Xenopus tropicalis: one gene and its partner. The protein of the gene in region 1 binds, or shares a complex with, the protein of each later gene. Links are inferred from orthologs where the notes say so. Each region holds a gene or a part of one and is shown on either strand. Other genes may lie near its edges.

Evidence for each region.
Region 2: the proteins of eif2b4 (region 1) and eif2s1 are in contact, whole or in part, in a cryo-EM structure (PDB 6O81), measured with the Homo sapiens proteins. The link is inferred for Xenopus tropicalis from reciprocal best matches to the Homo sapiens genes EIF2B4 and EIF2S1. Residues at the interface, in NP_001029288.1 of Homo sapiens: Asn245, Glu246, Glu247, Arg250, Thr285, Ser520, Ser521, Asp522; in NP_004085.1 of Homo sapiens: Met30, Tyr33, Met45, Arg55, Arg57, Arg75, Glu79, Lys80, Tyr82.

Annotation. Positions count from the first base shown.
Region 1 is NC_030681.2:161,940,580-161,944,916, reverse strand, and holds the start of eif2b4 (translation initiation factor eIF-2B subunit delta), read left to right. Parts: upstream 1-1,302; 5' UTR 1,303-1,338; coding exon 1,339-1,372; intron 1,373-2,944; coding exon 2,945-2,985; intron 2,986-4,337. UniProt on the Homo sapiens protein: Acts as a component of the translation initiation factor 2B (eIF2B) complex, which catalyzes the exchange of GDP for GTP on eukaryotic initiation factor 2 (eIF2) gamma subunit.
Region 2 is NC_030684.2:119,231,186-119,235,648, forward strand, and holds the start of eif2s1 (eukaryotic translation initiation factor 2 subunit 1), read right to left. Parts: upstream 3,051-4,463; 5' UTR 2,966-3,050; intron 1,009-2,965; exon of another isoform or gene 1,006-1,008; 5' UTR 1,005-1,005; coding exon 764-1,004; intron 1-763. Other genes in the region: atp6v1d (V-type proton ATPase subunit D), read left to right, coding at 3,468-3,508. UniProt on the Homo sapiens protein: Member of the eIF2 complex that functions in the early steps of protein synthesis by forming a ternary complex with GTP and initiator tRNA. This complex binds to a 40S ribosomal subunit, followed by mRNA binding to form a 43S pre-initiation complex (43S PIC).

The DNA of each region.
Region 1 (4,337 bases):
CAGTTACATGGGAGTAGGAGAAACAATAGGTTAGCTGAAAGCAGTTCTAATGTGTAACGCTGGCTGAAAGCTCAGACTCAGGCACACTTTACTGCTGCGCTGCAAGTTGGAGTGATATCCCCCCCCCTCACCCCCAGCAGCCGATCAGCAGAACAATGGGAAGGGAGCAAGATAGCAGCTCCCAGTAGGTATCAGAATAGCACTCAATAGTAAGAAATCCAAGTCCGGCTTGGGACTCCTCCAGTTACATGGGAGTAGGAGAAACAATAGGTTAGCTGAAAGCAGTTCTAATGTGTAGCGCTGGCTGAAAGCTCAGACTCAGGCACACTTTACTGCTGCGCTGCAAGTTGGAGTGATATCCCCCCTCACCCCCAGCAGCCGATCAGCAGAACAATGGGAAGGGAGCAAGATAGCAGCTCCCAGTAGGTATCAGAATAGCACTCAATAGTAAGAAATCCAAGTCCGGCTTGGGACTCCTCCAGTTACATGGGAGTAGGAGAAACAATAGGTTAGCTGAAAGCAGTTCTAATGTGTAGCGCCGGCTGAAAGCTCAGACTCAGGCACACTTTACTGCTGCACTGCAAGTTGGAGTGATATCCCCCCCCTCCCAGCAGCCGATCAGCAGAACAATGGGAAGGGAGCAAGATAGCAGCTCCCAGTAGGTATCAGAATAGCACTCAATAGTAAGAAATCCAAGTCCGGATTGGGACTCCTCCAGTTACATGGGAGTAGGAGAAACAATAGGTTAGCTGAAAGCAGTTCTAATGTGTAGCGCTGGCTGAAAGCTCAGACTCAGGCACAAGGCACTGAGATGGCGCCTACACACCAATATTACAGCTACAAATACATTTGTTGGTTGAAGAATAAAATGTTAAATGGCAGAGGGAATTACTCGCTGTGTAACCCACACATATTATGACAGAAGTTTGTGCTTTCCTGCCATATGCCCAGTCACTGGCTGGGGACACCCTAAGTACCTTTCCAACTTACCGCTTGGCCCTGACTAGATTCCACCAAGGACCACAATTCCCAGCATGCCCGGCCCTACCGTAAAATAAGGAGGCGAATACAATCTCACGCATTATCTGCCCGTACGTAAGATGGCGTCCGGACTCGTAGCTAAAGTGCGACACTGTATGGGCACGCCGTACTAGAAGTCGTGCGTCTCTCCGCTTGTTTGCCCATATAAAACATGGCCGCAGAGTGACAGCACATGGTGTGTGTCATTGCATTGCAGCTCACTGATTGGTGGGTTACTGCAGCCCTAGCGATGGCCGCGCATTTCGTCATTTGTCCGCATGCGCTGTGAGTTTGGGGAGCAGTGACAGTCGGGCCGGCATGGAGGGGAGCGGGGAGAGCGGCCACAAGCAGGGTAAGTGATTGGGGGTCTCTCCCTCAGCGGGGCAGGAGTGTGCCAGTTACCCCACCTAGGGCAGGAGTGTGCCAGTTACCCCACCTAGGGCAGGAGTGTGCCAGTTACCCCACCTAGGGCAGGAGTGTGCCAGTTACCCCACCTAGGGCAGGAGTGTGCCAGTTACCCCACCTAGGGCAGGAGTGTGCCAGTTACCCCACCTAGGGCAGGAGTGTGCCAGTTACCCCACCTAGGGCAGGAGTGTATCAGTCTTACCTCCATGGGGCAGCAAAGTGCCTGTTGCCCCTCCCTGTGACAGACATAGGCTGTTTGCCCCCAACCTTGGCCTAGCAGGTGCCAGTTACCCTGCCAGTGATAACCATATGCTATTTACCCCTCCCAGGGCAGGAAGAGTCCACTTACCCTTCCCCAGGGCAGATGTTACATATATGCGCCATGTTACCCCTCTCTGCCATTGCCTTTACCTGAGTATGGCCCCTGTACCCCAACTCCTGAGTATGGGCCCCTGTACCCCAACCCCTGAGTATGGGCCCCTGTACCCCAACTCCTGAGTATGGGCCCCTGTACCCCGACCCCTGAGTATGGGCCCCTGTACCCCGACCCCTGAGTATGGGCCCCTGTCCCCCGACCCCTGAGTATGGGCCCCTGTCCCCCGACCCCTGAGTATGGGCCCCTGTCCCCCGACCCCTGAGTATGGGCCCCTGTCCCCCGACCCCTGAGTATGGGCCCCTGTCCCCCGACCCCTGAGTATGGGCCCCTGTCCCCCGACCCCTGAGTATGGGCCCCTGTCCCCCGACCCCTGAGCCCCCAGTCTGTCCCAGCACTTACTGGTGCCTCACTGTATGTTATTGCCCCTTAGCAGGGTAATTACTGATTCATCATCCCACTGGCCTGCCTGTCTGTACAGCACCCACAGGGCTGTGCCAGGGAAGCCATGCTGCCCCTCCTGCCCGGTGTAAGGGCTTTAGTAGGATAACTCCCAGCACCCACAGGGCTGTGCCACGCAGACCTTCCCCAATAACTGAGCAGGGAGTGCAGCTCAGAGCCTGCTGGGAGTTGTTTCTCTATAAACTATGGGTGATTGGGTCACAATGGCGCAGAGATATCTCTGTATCTGACCCACTGGGCTTTAGAAATTTTCTAACAGGCCATAGAGGCCCTTTACTGATCAGCTGTGCCCTGTTGTTTGGCTGTAACTCCCAGCACCCAGCTGCCAGGGAGGGGTTGGCAGGGAATGTAGTTCAGCAGAATGGAGAAGGTCTCAGACTGGATATAGTAAGTCTGAGCTGGGGCTGCCATGGCGTCTCGGTGTTTGCTGGGCTGAGGATGCCGGGCTGAGGATGCCGGGCTGAGGATGCCGGGCTGAGGATGCCGGGCTGAGGATGCTGGGAGCTGCAGTTATAAGCACTAGTTTCCCCATGGGGGGGGGGGGGAAGGTCTGGTCTGCCATAAAAGCATTAGGGCTCCTTTCTAAATGGGGTGGAGTTTGGGGTGTGGGCGTGGCCATGCGGGTGCCATTTAGATTTACCCCTGTTGGCGGGTAGATGTGATGTTTCTCCATTTCTCCTACAGGTGGCGGTAAAGTAAAGAAGCCAGAGTCTCACCATGCCAAGGTACGGTGCCCTGCAGGGCGTGTTGGTCACTGTGTGCCCCTCTGTGCCACCCTCACCCTGATGGGAGGGCTTGGGCATTCAGGGCGTTGCCCTATTGTAATGCCATTGGGTTACTCATAGGTCTCTTACAGGGGAGCTGATCCATTGGGTACCCTATAGATTAGTACCAGGGGGCCCCCAGCGTGGGGAGTGTAGGCGGGGCTTGGCATCTCCAGAACCTTCCCAACCACCACTGATTGCAATGAGCTGTTGGTACAGGAGCTGTGCGGGCACCTATATACACAGCATGTGTGCCAGGATGCCCAGTCTGGCTCATACTTGGGGGGGGGGGGTAGTGTGCCCCCCAGTACTGATACTGTGTCTCTGGCAGGAGCTGTGTGGGCACCTATATACACAGCATGTGTGCCAGGATGCCCAGGGCCCTCTAGTCTGGCTCATACTTTGGGGGCTGTGTGCCCCCCAGTGCTAATACTGTGTCTCTGGCAGGAGCTGAGTGGGCACCTATATACACAGCATGTGTGCCAGGATGCCCAGTCTGGCTCATACTTGGGGGGGGGTAGTGTGCCCCCCAGTACTGATACTGTGTCTCTGGCAGGAGCTGTGTGGGCACCTATATACATAGCATGTGTGCCAGGATGCCCAGGGCCCTCTAGTCTGGCTCATACTTGGGGGGGGGGGGGGGTAGTGTGCCCCCCAGTGCTGATACTGTGTCTCTGGCAGGAGCTGAGTGGGCACCTATATACATAGCATGTGTGCCAGGATGCCCAGTCTGGCTCATACTTGGGGGGGGGGGGTAGTGTGCCCCCCAGTACTGATACTGTGTCTCTGGCAGGAGCTGTGGGGAGCGTGGGGAGTGTAGGCGGGGCTTGGCATCTCCAGAACCTTCCCAACCACCACTGATTGCAATGAGCTGTTGGTACAGGAGCTGTGCGGGCACCTATATACACAGCATGTGTGCCAGGATGCCCAGGGCCCTCTAGTCTGGCTCATACTTGGGGGTGGGGGGGGGTAGTGTGCCCCCCAGTGCTGATACTGTGTCTCTGGCAGGAGCTGAGTGGGCACCTATATACACAGCATGTGTGCCAGGATGCCCAGTCTGGCTCATACTTGGGGGGGGGGGTAGTGTGCCCCCCAGTACTGATACTGTGTCTCTGGCAGGAGCTGTGTGGGCACCTATATACACAGCATGTGTGCCAGGATGCCCAGGGCCCTCTAGTCTGGCTCATACTTTGGGGGCTGTGTGCCCCCCAGTGCTAATACTGTGTCTCTGGCAGGAGCTGAGTGGGCACCTATATACACAGCATGTGTGCCAGGATGCCCAGTCTGGCTCATACTTGGGGGGGGGTAGTGTG
Region 2 (4,463 bases), on another chromosome or scaffold:
TAGTTGAACATTATCCTATCAGTTGGACAGGCAAGTTGGTTAAACATGTCGGCTATAATCAAAGGTTTTGTCAAAAATAGTCACCAGTACCCTTGCAGACTGTCAGTAGTTCTTCCCCCACCGGGAATGGTGCATGTTTCAAAAATTCAAATGCTGCTCTTATATTGCTAAGTGAGCTCAGGTTAAAGCTCAATCAGATACTTAACACATTTTGAAAGTTACTGTTACATCTGGACTGGAGCTCGCCAGTAGTTTGTAACTTTCCCTCAGCAAAGAGACAAGAAGGAATGTGCAGGTACTACTCCAGGACAGTAAGAGGGCAGCACTTGAAAGTAAACCTGTGGATGGCATGGGGTTGGCCTTCCCTTACAGAGGAACATGGTGCTATGTATTATGCCAAACTGATGATTCCAACCTCAGAGTGGAACTTGCCAGTGTAGCTTGAAGCAATATTGGTGGTAGAACCCCAAGTTTAAAGGGACAGCAACATGCAGCAGGTATTAATGGGAATGTGTCACTATGCCTATAAAAACATACCCTGTTTAATCATCCATTTCAAAAGTACCCCCATTTGTTCTCCAGCCTGGCAGGACTTTCCCCCCCAGCACTAACATCCCAGCCTTGTGCAAAGCAGTTTAGTGACAAAAAAAGGTAACCAACTGGGGTGGGGGCATTTTTGTAAGCATAGGGACAGTGTTTGTTAAAACCTAGAACATGTCACTATCCCTTTAAGGAGCATTGACTGCTATTTTAGACTGCTTACCTTTATCTTTATCCACCCTGATCACCACAACGCACTCGTTCCTGCCAATTCTAATAAGTTTGTTGATAGATCGGATGCGCCTCCTAGACAGCTCGCTGAGCAGGATCATGCCCTCAATGTTGTTATATTCCAAGAGGCTGACGTAAGCCCCCATCTCGGCTATGGACCGGACGTTCACCATGACAACATCGTCCACTTCCGGGAACTTGTGTTGGTAAAATCTACAGCTTAACGCAGGCATCCTGCGAAGAGAACCAGTAACATTTAAACCCTGTCTCATTCAGCTTGCAATCTATTCTTGGTGCTTGACATGCAGGTACTCTATTATTCGTCATCATCATCTTCTGTAGCCATTACCCTGACCAACCCTCTGATCAGTCTGGTCAGGCAGGACATGCCTTATTAAAGCTGCCCATGCATATAACCTGACAGTTTGGCCCCTCCACCTGTGCTTCAGTTGCATTTTAGACCATGCGGATACAATCCCAGCAGGAATATATTATTACTTTAAACAGCCCTACAGAAATCACATGTAATCCATGCAATATGATGGAACCACAGAACTGGACCGACTCAAAGGCTGATACAGACTAAGGTCCAAACCTGTAACCGGCTACATGCAGATTTAGTTGTGTACCAGAGCAGCTCTGCAGTTTTTTTTTAGCTGACCAGAGACTTTTGACAAAAGAATGACCAATTCCCTTTAAAGGGATTTAGCATGGAATAGCAAGTGACAGAGAGAAACTGCTTTTAATCGAAACTTTAAAATCATGAACATGTTTGATAAAGACATAGCAGAACTGCTATGTACAATTAAATTTGCTTTATTTATGCAATTAAAGGGGGACTCTGGCTTCCAAACCAAAATCTGTTAAAAAGCCCCACGCAACACAGAAACCCCTAATATACCTATCACTGTCATCTGTTCCTTCAAAAAGTATGAATAAATACCATTTTTATATGCTGCAAAACATTTCTTCTCTTTCTGCATCATTTCAAATCCTGAGTGTGGAGGAAAGTCTAAAACACTGATGTTACAAATTGTAACAACTTCTCCACCGCTTACAGACAGCATGCAGGAACTAACCCACAATGCATTGCATCACGATGTTCCTTTCCTTACTGACATCACATGTGCAGGGAATTGTGGGATTTGGAGGCTGCAGGCTGAGAACAGTTGACTACGGTTACATTTTGCCAGCCAGATCAGCAGGAGAACAGGGGGCCAGGCTTAGGTAACGGTTCCAAAGGCTGCATATTTTTTTAATTGATGTATATTGCAAAGTTGCTTAAAATTAGGTTTACTTTTCAAAAGGATTAAATTGTGTTTGGATGGAGTTCCTCTTAAGGTGGCCACACACGTGGCGATTTCAGATCTTTTGGTCGCATGAAAGATCGTTCAATCGGCCACTAACGTTTTGGCCCTTATTTGGCTCCTCCGTGAACTTTTATGGTGCTTGTGTTGCTCTCCAAGTCTTTTTACATTTGACTGTGGCTCACGAGTAAGAAAGGTTGGGGACCCCTGTAATAGCCAGTTACTATTTATTGGGGATGTTTGGGCCTCTGTGTACTTCAAGTGCCAGCATCCACCAACTGCTGAGGGCTGCAGATTCAACAACAGCTGGCTGTCAGCAGGTTGAAAGCAATATAATCTGCACTGCTGGCTCTGACTCCTGAAACAATGTAGCACAAGCCAACAGGTAAACAAATCTAGAGGAGAACTGAATTCTGCTACAATGTTCCTACAGTCAGAACCAGAGAACAGTAAAGGCTAAACACTGCTTTAATTCCCGTTACATGTCCCAATAAGTTCAAGTTTCCTGACAATGTGCAATGAATGTAAACTAAGTTACTCAGAACATTATCTTTCATTATAGAAAACACACTTTCTTTTTTAAGGAGAATTCCCCTTTAACAAAGGCCCCAGCAGGGAGATGGTTCTGGGACAGCTAGAAGGCGAGATGTTACCCACCGTACATATACAGCAGCCATAGCACGTTTGTATAAGGGTGGGTAGATCGCTTTAACACGTTTTACAGGAATCTGCAGGGAATTCCCATCCAACTACAGTAGAACCACAACTCCCAGTGTCCCGCGCTAGCCTGTACAGATAGTTATAGAAGGGCGATTCCACGCCGCTAAAGCTCCACAGCAGAGCGGCCAAGGCGGCTATTAGAACAGATACATGAGTCGGAGCCTTACTTGGCTGATGTTCCCTACGATCAAACAGAACGTTGGCACCGGGCGGGCTCCTTCAGCTCACGCCGCACTATTTCATCAGCATGCGTTCCGGCAAAGAACAACACGCATGCGCAACCCCACAACTACAGCGCTGACACCGGAAGCGGAAGTCGGTGCTACCATTACGGGGTTAGGAGGTTACAGGGCGCCATATTGAAGATGGAACATTATCGCTTTAAAATGTTGTTTCGTGTAACTCATATCATATTAAAAAAGGAATACGAATAAAATATTCCGATGTGGGTGCAGAAACCCATAAAACGTCTGACAAGCTAATACAGTTCAAAACGCTCTTCGTGCGCAGGCGCAGCATTTTTCCGTCTGCTGCGGATCACATGACGAGAGATGTTCAGGTGACAGAACCACGCCCTCCCTTCCTGGATCACGTGACAATCTCTCGCTTTCTTGGTTCTGCCGCAGGAATCCGAGTGTCAGTGAGGGGAGAAGCAGATCGCAGGTCAAGATGTCGGGCAAGGACAGGATCGAGGTGTTCCCTTCCAGGATGTAAGTATGGTGATACGGTCAGATATACCCGTGATCGGGGGCTTGGGCATCTGCTGGCGTGGAATTCTGGGATCTGTAGTTCTGCAATAACTAGAGCCACAGATGTCCCTTGTTGGTTATAATCTTTTGGGGTATTTGTCAGTGGGGTTACAGGCAGGCAAATGGCTCATAGGGGTATGTGTTGATGGGGGGATCCCTGTAGTGTATAAAGATATATATAAAATAGATAGATAAATGTGTGTGTGTGATATTCACCCACTGGCTTGGGTTTAGGGTGGGATAGGAACAGATACTAGCAGCAAAGGCAAAGCATTCTGTGTAAGGGTTCAGCTGTTACCTGGGGCCCTTCAGCAACTCCCACTACCTTAATGGATATATAGATTGTAAGCTCTGCAGGGCAGGGACCTCCATCCTCTGTGTCTTTGACTCTTAACTTATTGCAACTGTATCTTGTATTTATCTGTATTTATTGTTATACTTTGTATTTATCTATTATTATTTTAATAACCCCGTTTGTATTAATGTATTCTACTGTACAGCGCTGCGTACATAAGTAGCACTTTATAAATAAAGATATACATACATGCAATGGCAGCTAAAGGCCATCAGTGGGATAGTGGGAGATGCAGTTCAGCAGAGGCCTGAGACATCCTAATTAATGATATACACCCTTTTCCATTTGGGGGGACCAGCACCCCTTGCCCCTGAGCGCCCAGCCATTGCTGCTAGTGAGCCCATGTTAGGCTGGGGGATATGGGAGCTGCTAGCCGGCTGCATAGTACTAGCCAAACCCATGCACTTGTGTCGGCTGGGGAGTGCGGCAGCCTCACTATATACGCACAGTTACACACTCACCCACACAGTTACACACTCACCCACACAGTTACACACTCACCCACACAGTTACACACTCACCCACACAGTTACACACTCACCCACACAGTTACACACTCAC